4 linked regions of the Arabidopsis thaliana genome follow. The protein of the gene in region 2 interacts with the protein of the main gene of each other region in a pairwise test. Each region holds a gene or a part of one and is shown on either strand. Other genes may lie near its edges.

What was found.
Region 1: the proteins of TCP17 (region 2) and NAC012 interact in a two-hybrid assay, tested with the Arabidopsis thaliana proteins (one large-scale study listed by BioGRID).
Region 3: the proteins of TCP17 (region 2) and NAC066 interact in a two-hybrid assay, tested with the Arabidopsis thaliana proteins (one large-scale study listed by BioGRID).
Region 4: the proteins of TCP17 (region 2) and AT5G61590 interact in a two-hybrid assay, tested with the Arabidopsis thaliana proteins (one large-scale study listed by BioGRID).

What each region holds. Positions count from the first base shown.
Region 1 is NC_003070.9:11,864,661-11,868,884, reverse strand, and holds NAC012 (NAC domain containing protein 12), read left to right. Parts: upstream 1-1,730; 5' UTR 1,731-1,934; coding exon 1,935-2,121; intron 2,122-2,216; coding exon 2,217-2,482; intron 2,483-2,918; coding exon 2,919-3,542; 3' UTR 3,543-3,656; downstream 3,657-4,224. UniProt on the Arabidopsis thaliana protein: Transcriptional activator of genes involved in biosynthesis of secondary walls. Together with NST1, required for the secondary cell wall thickening and lignification of sclerenchymatous fibers and secondary xylem vessels (tracheary elements).
Region 2 is NC_003076.8:2,582,811-2,586,570, forward strand, and holds TCP17 (TCP domain protein 17), read left to right. Parts: upstream 1-1,547; 5' UTR 1,548-1,711; intron 1,712-2,061; 5' UTR 2,062-2,074; coding exon 2,075-2,803; 3' UTR 2,804-3,225; downstream 3,226-3,760. UniProt on the Arabidopsis thaliana protein: Plays a pivotal role in the control of morphogenesis of shoot organs by negatively regulating the expression of boundary-specific genes such as CUC genes, probably through the induction of miRNA (e.g. miR164). Participates in ovule development.
Region 3 is NC_003074.8:22,928,462-22,932,081, reverse strand, and holds NAC066 (NAC domain protein 66), read left to right. Parts: upstream 1-1,625; 5' UTR 1,626-1,674; coding exon 1,675-1,846; intron 1,847-2,056; coding exon 2,057-2,889; 3' UTR 2,890-3,076; downstream 3,077-3,620. UniProt on the Arabidopsis thaliana protein: Transcription activator of genes involved in biosynthesis of secondary walls. Together with NST1, required for the secondary cell wall thickening of the anther endocethium, which is necessary for anther dehiscence.
Region 4 is NC_003076.8:24,763,699-24,767,519, forward strand, and holds AT5G61590 (Integrase-type DNA-binding superfamily protein), read right to left. Parts: upstream 1,814-3,821; 5' UTR 1,561-1,813; coding exon 955-1,560; 3' UTR 558-954; downstream 1-557. Other genes in the region: PFK4 (phosphofructokinase 4), read left to right, coding at 1-129; ERF104 (ethylene response factor 104), read right to left, coding at 2,945-3,670.

The sequences.
Region 1 (4,224 bases), on a different chromosome or scaffold from region 2:
AGCACCTTCAATGATTTAGTTAACATGTTAGATAAATTAAATATTCTTGTTTCAATATATATCAACTTTAGTGTAAAAGCCTTAACATTCTCTTGAATATTTAATTTATTTCTCCTTATTTCGATTTAATGACAAATGTGAATTAATTTTTGTGATATTTTTGTTCGAAATTAGTTTTCAGTTAATAACATACATGTGAGCATGGGACACACATGATTTAACAAAAGGGAATGACGAAATGATATATCAAAATATTAGTATGGGAACAAATTACGAGGTGAAACTTCACACTCAACTCAATTAAAACTAGAATAAAGAAATGGAAAAAGTGAAAGAATGAGAGGTCAAATGTGGTTAATCATTATGTGGTATTAGTTAATCCATCAATTGTGTACCCAAAAGCATGATTAAGCATAGAATTTAGAGAAACAAAACATCATTATTAATGTTGAAACACAAAGATCCCATCAACAGACAAATGATAAGTACAGTGCATGTAGGGTAACAACTTTTATGTACATGTTATATACTTATATTATATAATAAGAAAACGATTAAAGTGTCATTGCTCCAGCCTCTATTTGTAAATCATATTATATCAGTATGCTTAATTCCAATAATTAAGTCCATAACTAAAATATATACACATATATGTATGTTAAATGGTTGAATATATACATATATTTTCATAAACAAATATTGCTAATTAATTCAGTTATTTGTGTACATAATCCAACTATCACCTTTTTAGCTGGAAGTGGATATTCCAACATGTCAGTCTGTCACTCCCACATTCATACTCTCTATTCTTTTTAGCTATTTCAATATCTACGGTTAAATATTAATGGCTATATAGCCTTACCCTTCATTTTAGTTTTTTTTTGGTATTCGCATAACCATCGAATACTCAAACTTACTATGTAAGATGGTCTGAATAACTATTTCCGATTTAAGATGAATAGCTAGATTGAAATATACATGCACTAATTGGACATGCACTAAAGGCAGAGGTGAATTAAATGATGAAATGAAGATGAAGTGTCACACTTGTGCAAAAAGCATGTCCCCTGCTCTTCTCCGCTTGTTTCAATTTCTTTGACTTTCATCACGTTTTTGTCACTTAAATACACCAAAAAATATAGTACAATTAAACATCGAAAATCGTCCAAAAAGAAGAAAAAAAATCATGGAAAGTTCTTTCGTTAATGTTACACACATTATCTTGATTAGGTGACACCAGATATTAGAATAAAAATGATAGATTATGAAAAGAAAAAAAAAATTGATGTATTTTTAGGATACATCGAAAGGAATGAACATACCAAAAACATGGGAAAAAATAGATAACTAATTAACATGGTAGAATGTAGATGACGTAGATCATGAAACGAGTGTGTGATATATTAATGAAAATTATTTTAATATACGTAGCTATATTAGAAAATAATTTACATTTATTTTCTTCTAAACAAATCTATACTTTATATTTACATACATTAGTAAAGACCAAAACACATGGAATTCAAATTCTGCAATAAGTAATTGCAAGAAAACACAAAGATTAATCCCCCACTAAACCCGTTTATTTACGTTAGTATTTTTCCGTTTTATACATTACACATGACATGACATTACACGTCAAAAGAAATATGTCTTACGTCAGAACTTACGTATGATCAAACTCGATTTAAACATAGAAACATCTGTTTACTAAATTATACTAATTTCATAAAGACACTTTAATGCATGAACTTCTTTGTTTAAATAACAATTTCCCCCTTTTGGGGGCTATGTCTCGTCGAGTCCTACCACCATTATAAATTATCTCATCGTTTGCTTTCTTTTTTTTAAGTTGTAACCATTTCCACTCGTAATCATACAACTTCTCTACTCTTCTAGAGCAAAAACCCAAAAATATATTGCTATCTTCGTTAATGGCTGATAATAAGGTCAATCTTTCGATTAATGGACAATCAAAAGTGCCTCCAGGTTTCAGATTCCATCCCACCGAAGAAGAACTTCTCCATTACTATCTCCGTAAGAAAGTTAACTCTCAAAAGATCGATCTTGATGTCATTCGTGAAGTTGATCTAAACAAGCTTGAGCCTTGGGATATTCAAGGTTAAACCCTAAATATGAAAAAAAACTCTTTCATTTCTACGAACTCTCTATTTCTTTGTTCTTTATTTTTGAACCATTTTGGTATGCAAATGCAGAGGAATGTAGAATCGGTTCAACGCCACAAAACGACTGGTACTTCTTCAGCCACAAGGACAAGAAGTATCCAACCGGGACCAGGACGAACCGGGCAACAGTCGCTGGATTCTGGAAAGCTACCGGACGTGACAAAATCATCTGCAGTTGTGTCCGGAGAATTGGACTGAGGAAGACACTCGTGTTCTACAAAGGAAGAGCTCCTCACGGTCAGAAATCCGACTGGATCATGCATGAGTATCGCCTCGACGATACTCCAATGTCTAATGTAAGTATATATAGCAATCATCAATTTGCAGTTTAGGTTAGAATAAACAAATTACAAACTTATAGTCAAAGAATTAGCTAGATTCGTTTCATGCTATAAAAGGTTTTGGTTCATTTAGTACGCACTAGAGCCTTCTTTTAGCATCTGCAATTAAAGTAATCGAACATGATTCTCTGAGTTACAATAAGATAATTTCTTATGAAATTAACACATCATATATACATTTATATAAAAAGATTTTTTCACAAGGCTTAAAATAGTTTAACACGGCTCTACAAACAATACGTAGTTAACTAGTTATGGTTGCATATCCAAAAGAAAAACCAACATAAAAGATTTTTTTTTTTGTTTCAAAATAAAAGTTGCATTTTTACATCATCAAGATTTAATCATCTCTTATTGCATTTCATAAGATCGATTTGTGTTCCATTATCAGGGCTATGCTGATGTTGTTACAGAAGATCCAATGAGCTATAACGAAGAAGGTTGGGTGGTATGTCGAGTGTTCAGGAAGAAGAACTATCAAAAGATTGACGATTGTCCTAAAATCACTCTATCTTCTTTACCTGATGACACGGAGGAAGAGAAGGGGCCCACCTTTCACAACACTCAAAACGTTACCGGTTTAGACCATGTTCTTCTCTACATGGACCGTACCGGTTCTAACATTTGCATGCCCGAGAGCCAAACAACGACTCAACATCAAGATGATGTCTTATTCATGCAACTCCCAAGTCTTGAGACACCTAAATCCGAGAGCCCGGTCGACCAAAGTTTCCTGACTCCAAGCAAACTCGATTTCTCTCCCGTTCAAGAGAAGATAACCGAAAGACCGGTTTGCAGCAACTGGGCTAGTCTTGACCGGCTCGTAGCTTGGCAATTGAACAATGGTCATCATAATCCGTGTCATCGTAAGAGTTTTGATGAAGAAGAAGAAAATGGTGATACTATGATGCAGCGATGGGATCTTCATTGGAATAATGATGATAATGTTGATCTTTGGAGTAGTTTCACTGAGTCTTCTTCGTCTTTAGACCCACTTCTTCATTTATCTGTATGATTATCTATACATACACATACACAAAATATAAAATAAAGTTTGTTAAAAAATGTCTCATGTTCTATTGATAGTACGTCTTGATTTTGGGGTTTAACATTTGTTAATGGTGGAGGGTAATTTTTTTATAATATTTATAATCATAAAATTTACGAAGTTAAAGAATGATATTATATACAAAACTTGAATAACGACTCTTTCAATTGCTTACTAAGCTATTTTAGAAGTCATTACATTTAGTTCTTTATCTTTGACTATTAAAGCTAAAAGATGTCCAAAAAAAAAAAAAGCTAAATGGTAGAACTTTTCACATCCCTCATCTTTCATTCTACATTTCTTACATGCCCACTATTGAATTTGAATCCAAATTATGATACGAAGATTGCCATATTTGTACAACCACGAGAATATATGTTTATCGCTTAAATCTTTTGTATTTGCGAATCATAAAGCCCATAGGCCATAGTGAGAGTTAATATTCGGTAAATTTGTACTTTGGTTCAAACGCACATGGTGAATCCGTATTTTATAAAAAACTTTCTAAATTAATAATGAGTTAATGACAGAACTATGATGTATATGTTAATTTATAGTAATATTATTTTTTCTATAAATTTCAAATCTCAAATTTTTTAATTGTATTATCATTTAATATTTTATCTTAAAACTAATTTGAAAAATATGA
Region 2 (3,760 bases):
ATTGTGGTTACCGTTTTGCACTCATTGTGGTTACAGCTAGGTTGTGTGACCAAACTTAATAAGATTCTCTAGCGATCAGAGAATATGGTCCGGTTTGCAGTGGTAAAAGATAAGCAGGGTTTACTTGAAATTGATTGTGGTTTTAGGACAAATCAGTTTGAAATCATTCGTTTGAGCTTCTAACCGCTTATTTCAAGTCCAAGTATCCAATTCAATATTGGTAACCGAATTAAAGGTTCGTTTTTAACCGCCATCACTAGTATGTGATCTACCGCTAGTATGTAATGTATTTGACCTCTATGAAATTGGAATCGTTCATACTTAACAAATTTCTAGGAAAAAAGGTTAAAACTATTTTCTTGTATATGCTTCAATCGTCTTGAAGATTACATAATCCAACGCACTAAAGGCTAATAAATTTTTGAAACTGAAGTCCAATCATCGTTATCTACTTCAGCCGACCTTAGGTCCCAACTAGAGAAACTTCTCAATCTCTGATTCTCTGATACACATACGCAGAGGTCTACTTATACACATTGTATACAAGCAGCTAATAATTAGTCATAAATTGTGAAACGTTTAAAAGAAAAGTAAAACAGTTTATTATAAGATATATAGTGAAATTTGGCAGTATGGCAAGAATTCACTCATTGATATAAAACCCCAATGTCATTGTTATTGAATTACAAGAATTCTTATGAAATTTAATAATTATATTTTTGTTATATGAAATTCTGTTATTGTGATATCCTGACAGTGTATATAAATAATGCTTAAAAGAATGAACTAGATATCTCACTGCCATGCAAATTATATAGTGGTCCACCATGAATCTGTATATAAGCATATTACATATCTAAGATGCTTTATTTTAACAAAAAAAAACATGTACTCTTTAATTTGGTCCATCCTCCATCTAAGACCAACCATTTTAGCTGTCAATCTATTTGCCTACTATAATATGTACAGTATTATGGAGCTCAATTGGGATCATCTCACGAAGAAAATCGAAAGGAAACCCCTAATTTTTAAAAGTTTTGGGTCTTAACATTTACTGATGCACATCACATACTATATATAATGGAATTTGCCCTATACCAAATGTAATGTATAAGTTGGTTCTCAGTAATTTTGAACTATTGTTTCGAATGATATATAGCAAAAGATCCATATGTAGTGTGTAATGAAAATGTAATTTTCTTACATTAGTATTTTCTATTGAATGGAGTCAAAGATATCGTTAAGAATGATCGTATGCATCATCAAGATTCAGGACTAGACATTCTAAAGAATGATCTCTAAGTAAGTAGATACATGTGTACACATTTTGATTATGTATATGTGTATCAGTGTATGTATATGTTTTTATTTATTATCTACTATTAGTATGGGTGATTAATGAAAATCATAGCATCTTTCTTTCCGTCAGAAAACATGTGGATAAGAGTGTCTATAGTCTACACACTACACAAATTGCTCTTTATACCTAACTAAAACCCTAGGGATTGGAGCGTATATATATATAGATATCATTTCTTGCTCAGCCTCAACCATATGTTATATTATACACTTTTAGTTTTAGATAACGAGAGAGAATAAATTATAACTGTTCATCATCTCGGTTCTTATCATTTTCCTCAACCTACGTGACAAAGAACTCACTCGATCTGTCTAAACCCAACGACTTCGTCAAGCTTACCAGTTTTTCTGTGTAAGATTAATCATCTTTTTTTCTTGCAGTAATATAATTTGAAACCTTTGTTTTCCTCTTTGGATCCTCAGATCTTCCTATTGATTCAATTGTAATCTATTTCGATTTGAGAATCACTTTCCTTTGATCTTTTTTAAGTATATATACACAAAATATCTAGTAAATTAAATTAATATGCAGTTCGAGTAATATACGTTTTCTTGATCTTAATAGGTTTTTGTTATTTACTCTATTGAAGTTGCTTTCATCTAATTAAAGTGATCACGCTTCCCAAAAATCCACAAACATTCCGAATTTGAACACTTTGTGATGACAATATTGATTTTGTTCATCTGTTTTTTGTTTTTTAGATCGACAGAGGACATGGGAATAAAAAAAGAAGATCAGAAAAGTTCCTTGTCCTTGTTGACGCAACGATGGAATAATCCGAGGATCGTGCGAGTCTCCCGAGCATTTGGAGGCAAAGATAGACACAGCAAAGTGTGCACAGTTCGTGGTCTCCGAGACAGGAGGATAAGGTTGTCGGTGATGACAGCGATCCAAGTCTACGACCTTCAAGAACGATTAGGGCTGAGTCAGCCTAGCAAAGTCATTGATTGGCTCTTAGAAGTTGCCAAAAACGACGTCGATTTGCTTCCTCCTTTGCAATTCCCACCTGGTTTTCACCAACTTAACCCTAATCTCACCGGCCTTGGAGAATCTTTTCCCGGGGTCTTCGATCTTGGAAGAACACAGAGAGAAGCTTTGGATCTTGAGAAAAGGAAATGGGTTAATCTTGATCATGTGTTTGATCACATCGATCATCACAACCATTTCTCGAATTCAATCCAGAGCAACAAGCTTTATTTCCCTACAATTACTTCGTCTAGCAGCTCTTATCACTACAACCTTGGACATCTCCAACAGTCACTACTAGACCAATCTGGTAACGTCACTGTCGCATTTTCTAATAACTATAATAATAATAATCTCAATCCTCCGGCGGCGGAAACTATGAGTTCTCTATTCCCAACAAGGTACCCTTCGTTTCTCGGTGGTGGTCAACTTCAACTCTTTAGTAGCACAAGCTCACAACCAGACCATATCGAGTAGTTCCAGCTGCAGATTATTTTTAGACGATCTTTAACAAGTTGAAGAATTCAAGTCATGTGACATGTAAGGCATTTACTATATGTACATAGAGAGAGGGAGATTTATATGGTTTAATGGTTATTGTTGGATTGATTAATCGTCACATGCGTGTATTTATAGTAGACAGTCTTATTAAAGATTATATAATAGACGCCAAATCTGATGCGAGCAAAGGTACATATTCATAATTCATGTTGTGATTGAGTTGGTAGAATATCTAATTCATTGTACCGCTACAATCAATATAAATAATATCTCTCATACAAACTTTTCACATTTGTATGTAAAGTTTGTAGTGCCTAAATATGCTATAACACAGGCCTCATTGCACGCCAAACCCTAGCTTGTACTCATATGTCCACAACCACATGCATGTGTAGTATACAAGGAACACAACACATATGATATCATCTACAAATAGAAATAAACACACTCATACACACAATGACACAAATATACGTTGTATGTATATATTTTGGGCTTAACATGTAAACTAATCGAACCGAATATTTATTTTCTTACATTTCCGAAACCAAATATGCCGCAAAAGCATTATTGAACCTATTGGAAGGATTTACGACAACTAAAACGTTTTATCCTGAATATTCATATATAGGTATATGATTTGTTGTAGCAGCTTTCCGGTAATTGGATTAATGTAAAGTGAGTAGAATCATATACTCCAACCAACAACTAGCTATATAGAGATAGATTTAGGTGATGAGTATTGCCTTATTGGGATTGGCGAATGAGAGAAGGAAAATGAGAAGAAGATGAGGCAGTTAAGACAGCAACTGAATCTGCAGTCAAGTCAAGCACTGATCCCTATATATCTTCTTTTAATTATTCTTCTTTTTTTCTTTTCTCTTTTGTCGATCCTCTTTTCACTTTCTATTAATTCTCTTTCCCTCACACATA
Region 3 (3,620 bases), on a different chromosome or scaffold from region 2:
TATATTACTCTGCTATAAACTCAGAACCATGTTAGAAAAATGAAAAAGACATTTCAGAATATTCATTAACTCAAAATTTTAATCTCATGATTTAATTTTTTATTAACAATGTTATCCTATAGCACATGGCAAATTTGAACGGCCCTTGCGTATTAATCTATTATAATCTCAAAACCATGTGTAAGAAAAAGGAAATTCAGAAAATAACCTTTTGTAAATAGGCCCCCACAAAATCTACAACATACGTAGATACCTCCTCGCTTACAGTTGTAAACAACTGTTCATCTAGATTCATGCCGTCATTCAAGTTTAAATTAATACAATAATTTAAAATTTTAATTTGGATGAATCGAATCCACCGTCGTTTCCTGAATACCAGATAGGTTAACTTTATGATTAGTTCGAGTGAACCACATGCACAATATTCGAATCTTAGACATTCGTTGCAATGTTAACTTCACATATATTTGATAAACGCTTCTTGAATCAGATCTTAATCTCTTTCTTTCTCTCCATCTTCTAAGGAGGTTGTGGATTATCATGTAGTATATCATTATCTTCGCATCACCTTCAACAAGAACAAGCTACGAGCTTTAAAGTCGTATTTAACACAATAATGTATAAAGTCTTTCTTCATCACATCACATACATTTTTTGTTGCCATCACCCTTCATTCACTTTTTTTGTTAACACTATTCGTTTCTATATAAAATAAAAATAAAATGAGGAATGTCTTGTCCATAGAGATTTTTAAGGTCGAGGGTCATCGGAGCGATGTGGGCTTGCTTCCTACATTATAGTTGATATGTGGATCCCGCGTGGACCATATTTTTACCCAATAGCTACGTGCATGGTCCCACCGCTCTCTCTCACGCACTATTCCGAAATTGCCATAAACAATTTCACCGGACAAAAAGAGCAAATAATTTCGATGTTTAATAAAGAGACCATTAGTATATTTGACCCAAAAAAAAATAAAAAAAAAAGAGAGACATTACTATAACTTTTATTAGATGAAATATTGCAACATTGTATTTATAACGGATCTAATTTACTGAATCATATTTTTTTTCTTTGTTAAAGAGATACTGAATCATGCAGAAAAATAGATAGATTTTTAAATACTAGGTGAACTCATGACGAATCAACCATTACGAGAGATTTCTGGATAAAAGCAAAAACAAAACAAAACTAACATGCTAATCTAGGCAATTAGTAGAGCGAAAAGTCGGCAAAACCAAAGGCCGAAGAAGCTTGATCGATATACTTTTTTTTTTTTGTTTTGGCTGGATATACTTGGTATGAACTAAGAATTAAGTAAAAACTCATAGGGAGTAATTTTTCGAGAAGTGCATTCACTATGAGTATAAAACAGACATTTTCAAATTATTAAAACAAGCTCTTAGAGGCTCATATGTTTAATTGTAAGTGGCGGCTCATGCGAACTTATAATGAAAACATCAAATATTCGGAAAAATAATACTCCACTGTTAAAAAGAAAACTTAACAAAGGAATTAAAAATATGAGAGCAAAAGAACACATGCATTTTCTCATGCATGTACTATTATTTATTTTTTTGCAGAGTTGATGTAAAAAATATACACATATATATAGACATACTTTGGTTAGTTATAAACTCGTTCTATTTTCTTCTCCTTTTTCTATCTTTAGCAATGAACATATCAGTAAACGGACAGTCACAAGTACCTCCTGGCTTTAGGTTTCACCCAACCGAGGAAGAGCTCTTGAAGTATTACCTCCGCAAGAAAATCTCTAACATCAAGATCGATCTCGATGTTATTCCTGACATTGATCTCAACAAGCTCGAGCCTTGGGATATTCAAGGTTCATCATTTATCTTTTATTCTTGATGAAACGTATTAATAGGGCTTGTATATATTAATTAAATTAGTTTTTTAATGCATGTGTTGAGTCAAGAACTAAAGCTCTGAATTCAGGAAATTTTGCAGAGTAATATATACTTTTTGTGATAATAAAATTTGCAGTAACAAAATTCAGTCAAAACTTAACACAACTCTTGTTTTTTCTATGTAGAGATGTGTAAGATTGGAACGACGCCGCAAAACGATTGGTACTTTTATAGCCATAAGGACAAGAAGTATCCCACCGGGACTAGAACCAACAGAGCCACCACGGTCGGATTTTGGAAAGCGACGGGACGTGACAAGACCATATATACCAATGGTGATAGAATCGGGATGCGAAAGACGCTTGTCTTCTACAAAGGTCGAGCCCCTCATGGTCAGAAATCCGATTGGATCATGCACGAATATAGACTCGACGAGAGTGTATTAATCTCCTCGTGTGGCGATCATGACGTCAACGTAGAAACGTGTGATGTCATAGGAAGTGACGAAGGATGGGTGGTGTGTCGTGTTTTCAAGAAAAATAACCTTTGCAAAAACATGATTAGTAGTAGCCCGGCGAGTTCGGTGAAAACGCCGTCGTTCAATGAGGAGACTATCGAGCAACTTCTCGAAGTTATGGGGCAATCTTGTAAAGGAGAGATAGTTTTAGACCCTTTCTTAAAACTCCCTAACCTCGAATGCCATAACAACACCACCATCACGAGTTATCAGTGGTTAATCGACGACCAAGTCAACAACTGCCACGTCAGCAAAGTTATGGATCCCAGCTTCATCACTAGCTGGGCCGCTTTGGATCGGCTCGTTGCCTCACAGTTAAATGGGCCCAACTCGTATTCAATACCAGCCGTTAATGAGACTTCACAATCACCGTATCATGGACTGAACCGGTCCGGTTGTAATACCGGTTTAACACCAGATTACTATATACCGGAGATTGATTTATGGAACGAGGCAGATTTCGCGAGAACGACATGCCACTTGTTGAACGGTAGTGGATAACGGAAATGGAAGAGAGGAAGTGACTAAGTGAGTGACATACCAAAACATTGTGTAGAAAGATATAATAATCATCATACCATATATATAGTTGTTGAAACTTTTACGGTATAAATGGTCAGATTGTGATAATTACAGTACGTAGTTATGTGATATCATTACAGAAAATAAAAGTTCTCTATATCTGTGTACATTTTATATCATGATTAACTTTATAGAAAAGAATTGGTTGCATAGTTGAATTTCTTTGGATCAAGAATATTAGTTTTTGTCTTTTTGAAACTTAATTGCCATTCGATGAACAAAAAGGCAATTACATTTTCTACTGTAAGAAATCATAGTCTGTCACATGCATCGCCGGGTGTTTTCTAATTACAATTATATGAAAAAAGGATTTTGACCAAAAGTTGATTATGATTTCAAGAGAGACAAAAGACCAAAATGATAATTAATTCGTCGACAAATTAACTTTAGGAACAGATGATTTCCATTACGTTAATTATTCAAAGTTTCTCATTTTACTCTCAATTAAACTGAAGTTTTATTTACTAGAAACTTGAGATATTTAGTTGGTAAATGCTTAGTTTGATGTTGAATAGTTTGCTTCATTCATCATTAGGAATAGATTAATTACCCAATTAATCACCCCAACAAACTTGGATTAAGATGCACCAAGTGCTTAATAATAGTAGCTAATTAACCTACCCATCAAAGCTAATCACACTCATTATTTT
Region 4 (3,821 bases), about 22 Mb from region 2:
AGGATGTGGGCTAGACTCCTTGCATCGACAAATCAACCGAGTTTCTTGACTGGTGAAGGAGCATTGCAGAATGTGATCGACATGGAAACTCAAGAAAAGATCGATAACATGAAGATCTCTTCTATCTAAGAAACAGGTCAGTTGATATTCATCAACTGTTCCAAATGTATACTAGATATATATGCATAGGAGATATCTTTATCAAAAAACCATGAAGTAATTTCATTGTTATAACTTATAAGAATTCTTTGGTTTTAGTTATTCCTAATAATAATAATCAACATCCATCTCAACGATGAGGTTGAGATGTTAATACATATCTTCCTCTGTTTACTTTTCCATATTGCAACTTGTGCATCTCTCCCCTCTTGAGCTGTTGCGTGTGGTCCATCCAATTCTTTGTCATATTTAAAAAATGAATGCTGACTTGTACCCAACCATGAGACAAAACTCTGGCTGCTATATTCTTTAAACTTGGTCCCTCTTGCAACTTGTTCATCTTTCTACTCAATTCACTGATTCACGCTTTCTGGACATGTGAACTAATTAATACCTCAGTGATATCGAATAGTGAATACTGAAGCCACTGTACGGTACTGTTTGTGTCATTGGAGAAACTTTAAGGCTTATGTTAAGGTCTTTCAGGTAGAAATTCGATTTTAAGTATCACAGTAGATTAATAAATAAATGTAGTCGATAGATTTAGGTCCTCTTGTCTTCCCAAATAGTGTACTCTGAATAAACCGAAAGGACAAGAACTTTGTTTCTAGAACCTTAAGCTCTTTAAGACAAGAGAAAACGCAGAAGTTCCATTGTTACAGGAACTCTTTAGTACATATTTTGCAAGAGTTCTTTTCAGTACACTAGTCTAACAGGTTCTTGGCTCTATACATGATGCTTCACATACTTAAGATATTAACCTATATATACTAATTAAACATCACTATTCCCCCATTAGTTTGATGACGATGATGAAGTACTTGTTGTTGTTCCTTGAGGCTGTGGTACATCGGTTCTCCTCCTTTTTCGGCATGAATTGACCGGAGCATCATACTTTCCGGCATCCAAAGGAAAGTTGAGAACAGCTTTTCTTCCCCTGAGCTTAAAAGCTGCATAGTCGTAAGCCCTTGCAGCATCAATATCACTCTCAAAAGTGCCTAACCAAATCCTGGATCCTTTCTTTGCCGGATCTCGAATCTCTGCTGCAAATTTCCCCCATGGCCTCCTTCTCACGCCTCTGTAATGTCTCGTTTCTTCAAACCTCTTTGTTTTTTTCCGGTTTGAGACAGTCTCAACCTCAGGTGACGTTGTTGTTGATGATGATGATGATGATTCTGCTTCCATTTGCAGAATCTCTTGGACATAGGAATCTGGATCAAGAACAGGTGAACTAGGTTCCAGTTTCGGAACTGGGTTAAAGGGTTCTAGAGACCAGAGTCCGGAGACAAAAGCAGTATCATCAAAGACAAAATCTTCAATGAAACCATCAGGGATCATCAAGTCTTCAAATAGATGTTTCTGTATAACATCCAAATCAGAGCTTTCCTCAAAAGTCTCCATTTCTTCCTCTCTCTTTTTTCTTTAGACAAGACAGGAGAATAAGAAAAACTGCAAGTGGTGTTTGAAGAAAAAGTTTTGATGATATTGTTGGCTATATAAAGAAAGGAATCCTAAACATGTGTTAACGCAGCCATGGGTGAGGTGTCAAAAGTCTCTCTCTGTGTCTCTCTGGTTTAACTCTGTGGGGCCAAGTCTTATCCATTAAACATTTATGGAGGCAACTTAAGATATTTTGTCAGGACCCTTCAAGTTGTGCCAACTTGATCTTGTCTATGATGCTGACAAATTTCACTAACATCCATTTTATTCCTCTAGAGTTTAAAATACCTTGAGCTACCCATGGTTCGAATCCTAAGCTGAATGCTAACAAAATGGTGATTATTTTTTTTAACTAGAATTTTGATTGAGTTGGTTAAGGACGTAGGTTCATTTGAAATTTTAAATCTAAAACATAACACAAACCAAAACCAAAAAGACTTGAACTACTAGTGTTTATAATCGTAACTTAAGTCTTTAAAAGCCAATCTCTCAAAAGTTTTTTCTTTTTTTTTTTTATCTTAAAAGTTTTATGATAAGATTGATATATGATTTTCGTAGTAGTAATGACTCACTAGGTAAGCTCTTAAATATCAAAAGATATTTTGCATATTCACATTCGAGTAAAAAGATAAGAAGATAATGACTTTCACTCGAATAAAAAGGAGAGACAAATTCATCAAATTGCTTGTCTTGTAGGGTTGTCTTGCTAGGATATGATTTGAAGCAACTTGATATTTCTTTGTTTCTACATAACTTCGTATAGGGCTCCACATATATAATAACCAAACCTTACCCTCTTGCTCAGTTGCTTGACAATTATACTCCTAATCTCATAATCTTTTATAATAGCATGTAAGATAATATTAATTATTTACTTTTATTGATGCTTTGTAGATAATCTTCGACAGCATTATCCATTTGATTGGTGTTTTCCACTATTGAAATTTTGAATTTGTTTAGATTTGTATGTATTTTTAACTAATTAATTGTCTTTTCGTTGCACACTATTTTTTTATAGCTCCGATTTACTTTTTCCTGATCCAATTTTATAATCTATTGACTATTTAGCAGATATGAAGTGTTTAGATATGGACTTAACGAAACTGATGACTAAGAATGTTTATACAATCAATAAATTTATAACATCAACAAATACAAAATTAAATTTATATTTTCAACATCCAAATATTCTACTAAAAAAAATAATGAATAAAATGATTGGTACTAATTAAACTACTTATTTGATATTTGCACACTACCGCTACCTTTATATTATACAAGAATAAATGAAATCATGAGAGTGACGCAAGTGAAAACGTCATCGTACGTTGACTTTTCCGAAGTTTTAAGTGACGGAGATAACGGAAAAGTTGGGAGACGTCGGAGATAACGGAGGAATACTGAAAATACCATCTCCTGCTCCCACATCCCAAAACCCCATCCAACTTGACGGCGTCAATGGTACCACCGGCTCAACCTCAGCCTCCGTCGTCTCCGACGTATTACTCTCTTCTTCCTCCACTTTAACCCTAGCCGCCTTCTCCTCTTCCGGCGGAGAACCCTTATCTCGCTTTCGTTTCCCTAATCCGATAACTCCTTCCCCAGAACAAGTTTCTGACGTAACCCTAACATCGAGAGGGAAATTCAAGATTGCTTTTCTTCCACGTAATTGAAACGCCGCTTGGTCATAAGCTCTTCCAGCTTCCACGGCAGTGTCGTAAGTCCCAAGCCAGATCCTACAACCCTTTTTGTTCGGATCCCTAATCTCCGCCGCGTATTTTCCCCACGGTCTTCGTCTCACTCCCCTGTAGTGCCTCTCTTCTTCCTCTTTCTCTGTCTTTGTTGAAACCGTTCTCGAGACGGATAGATTCGGTAAGGGCGGTTTACGCTGGTTAAGAGTCGAATTCGGTTTAGGGGATTGGTTGGTGATGGTTCTAGGGCCTGTTTCTGAGTGAAAGTTGTGAAGTTGGTTGGTAAAAAGAGATGGGTGATCAGTTTCCATGGAAACAAAGTCTGTGAGAAGGTGTTGGCTTATGAAATCGATGGCTAAAGCTTCTTGTTTAGTTGCCATCTTCACTCTACTTGATTGACTCTCTTGCTCTGTTGTATATGTGTATGTGTGGAAGTGGGAATAAGAGTGACGAGGAATCGGACTTTCTTATATAGTGGTAAAAAAACAAAGAGAGGGTTCGAGCCTTCGAGGGAGTTTCGAGGATCGGACC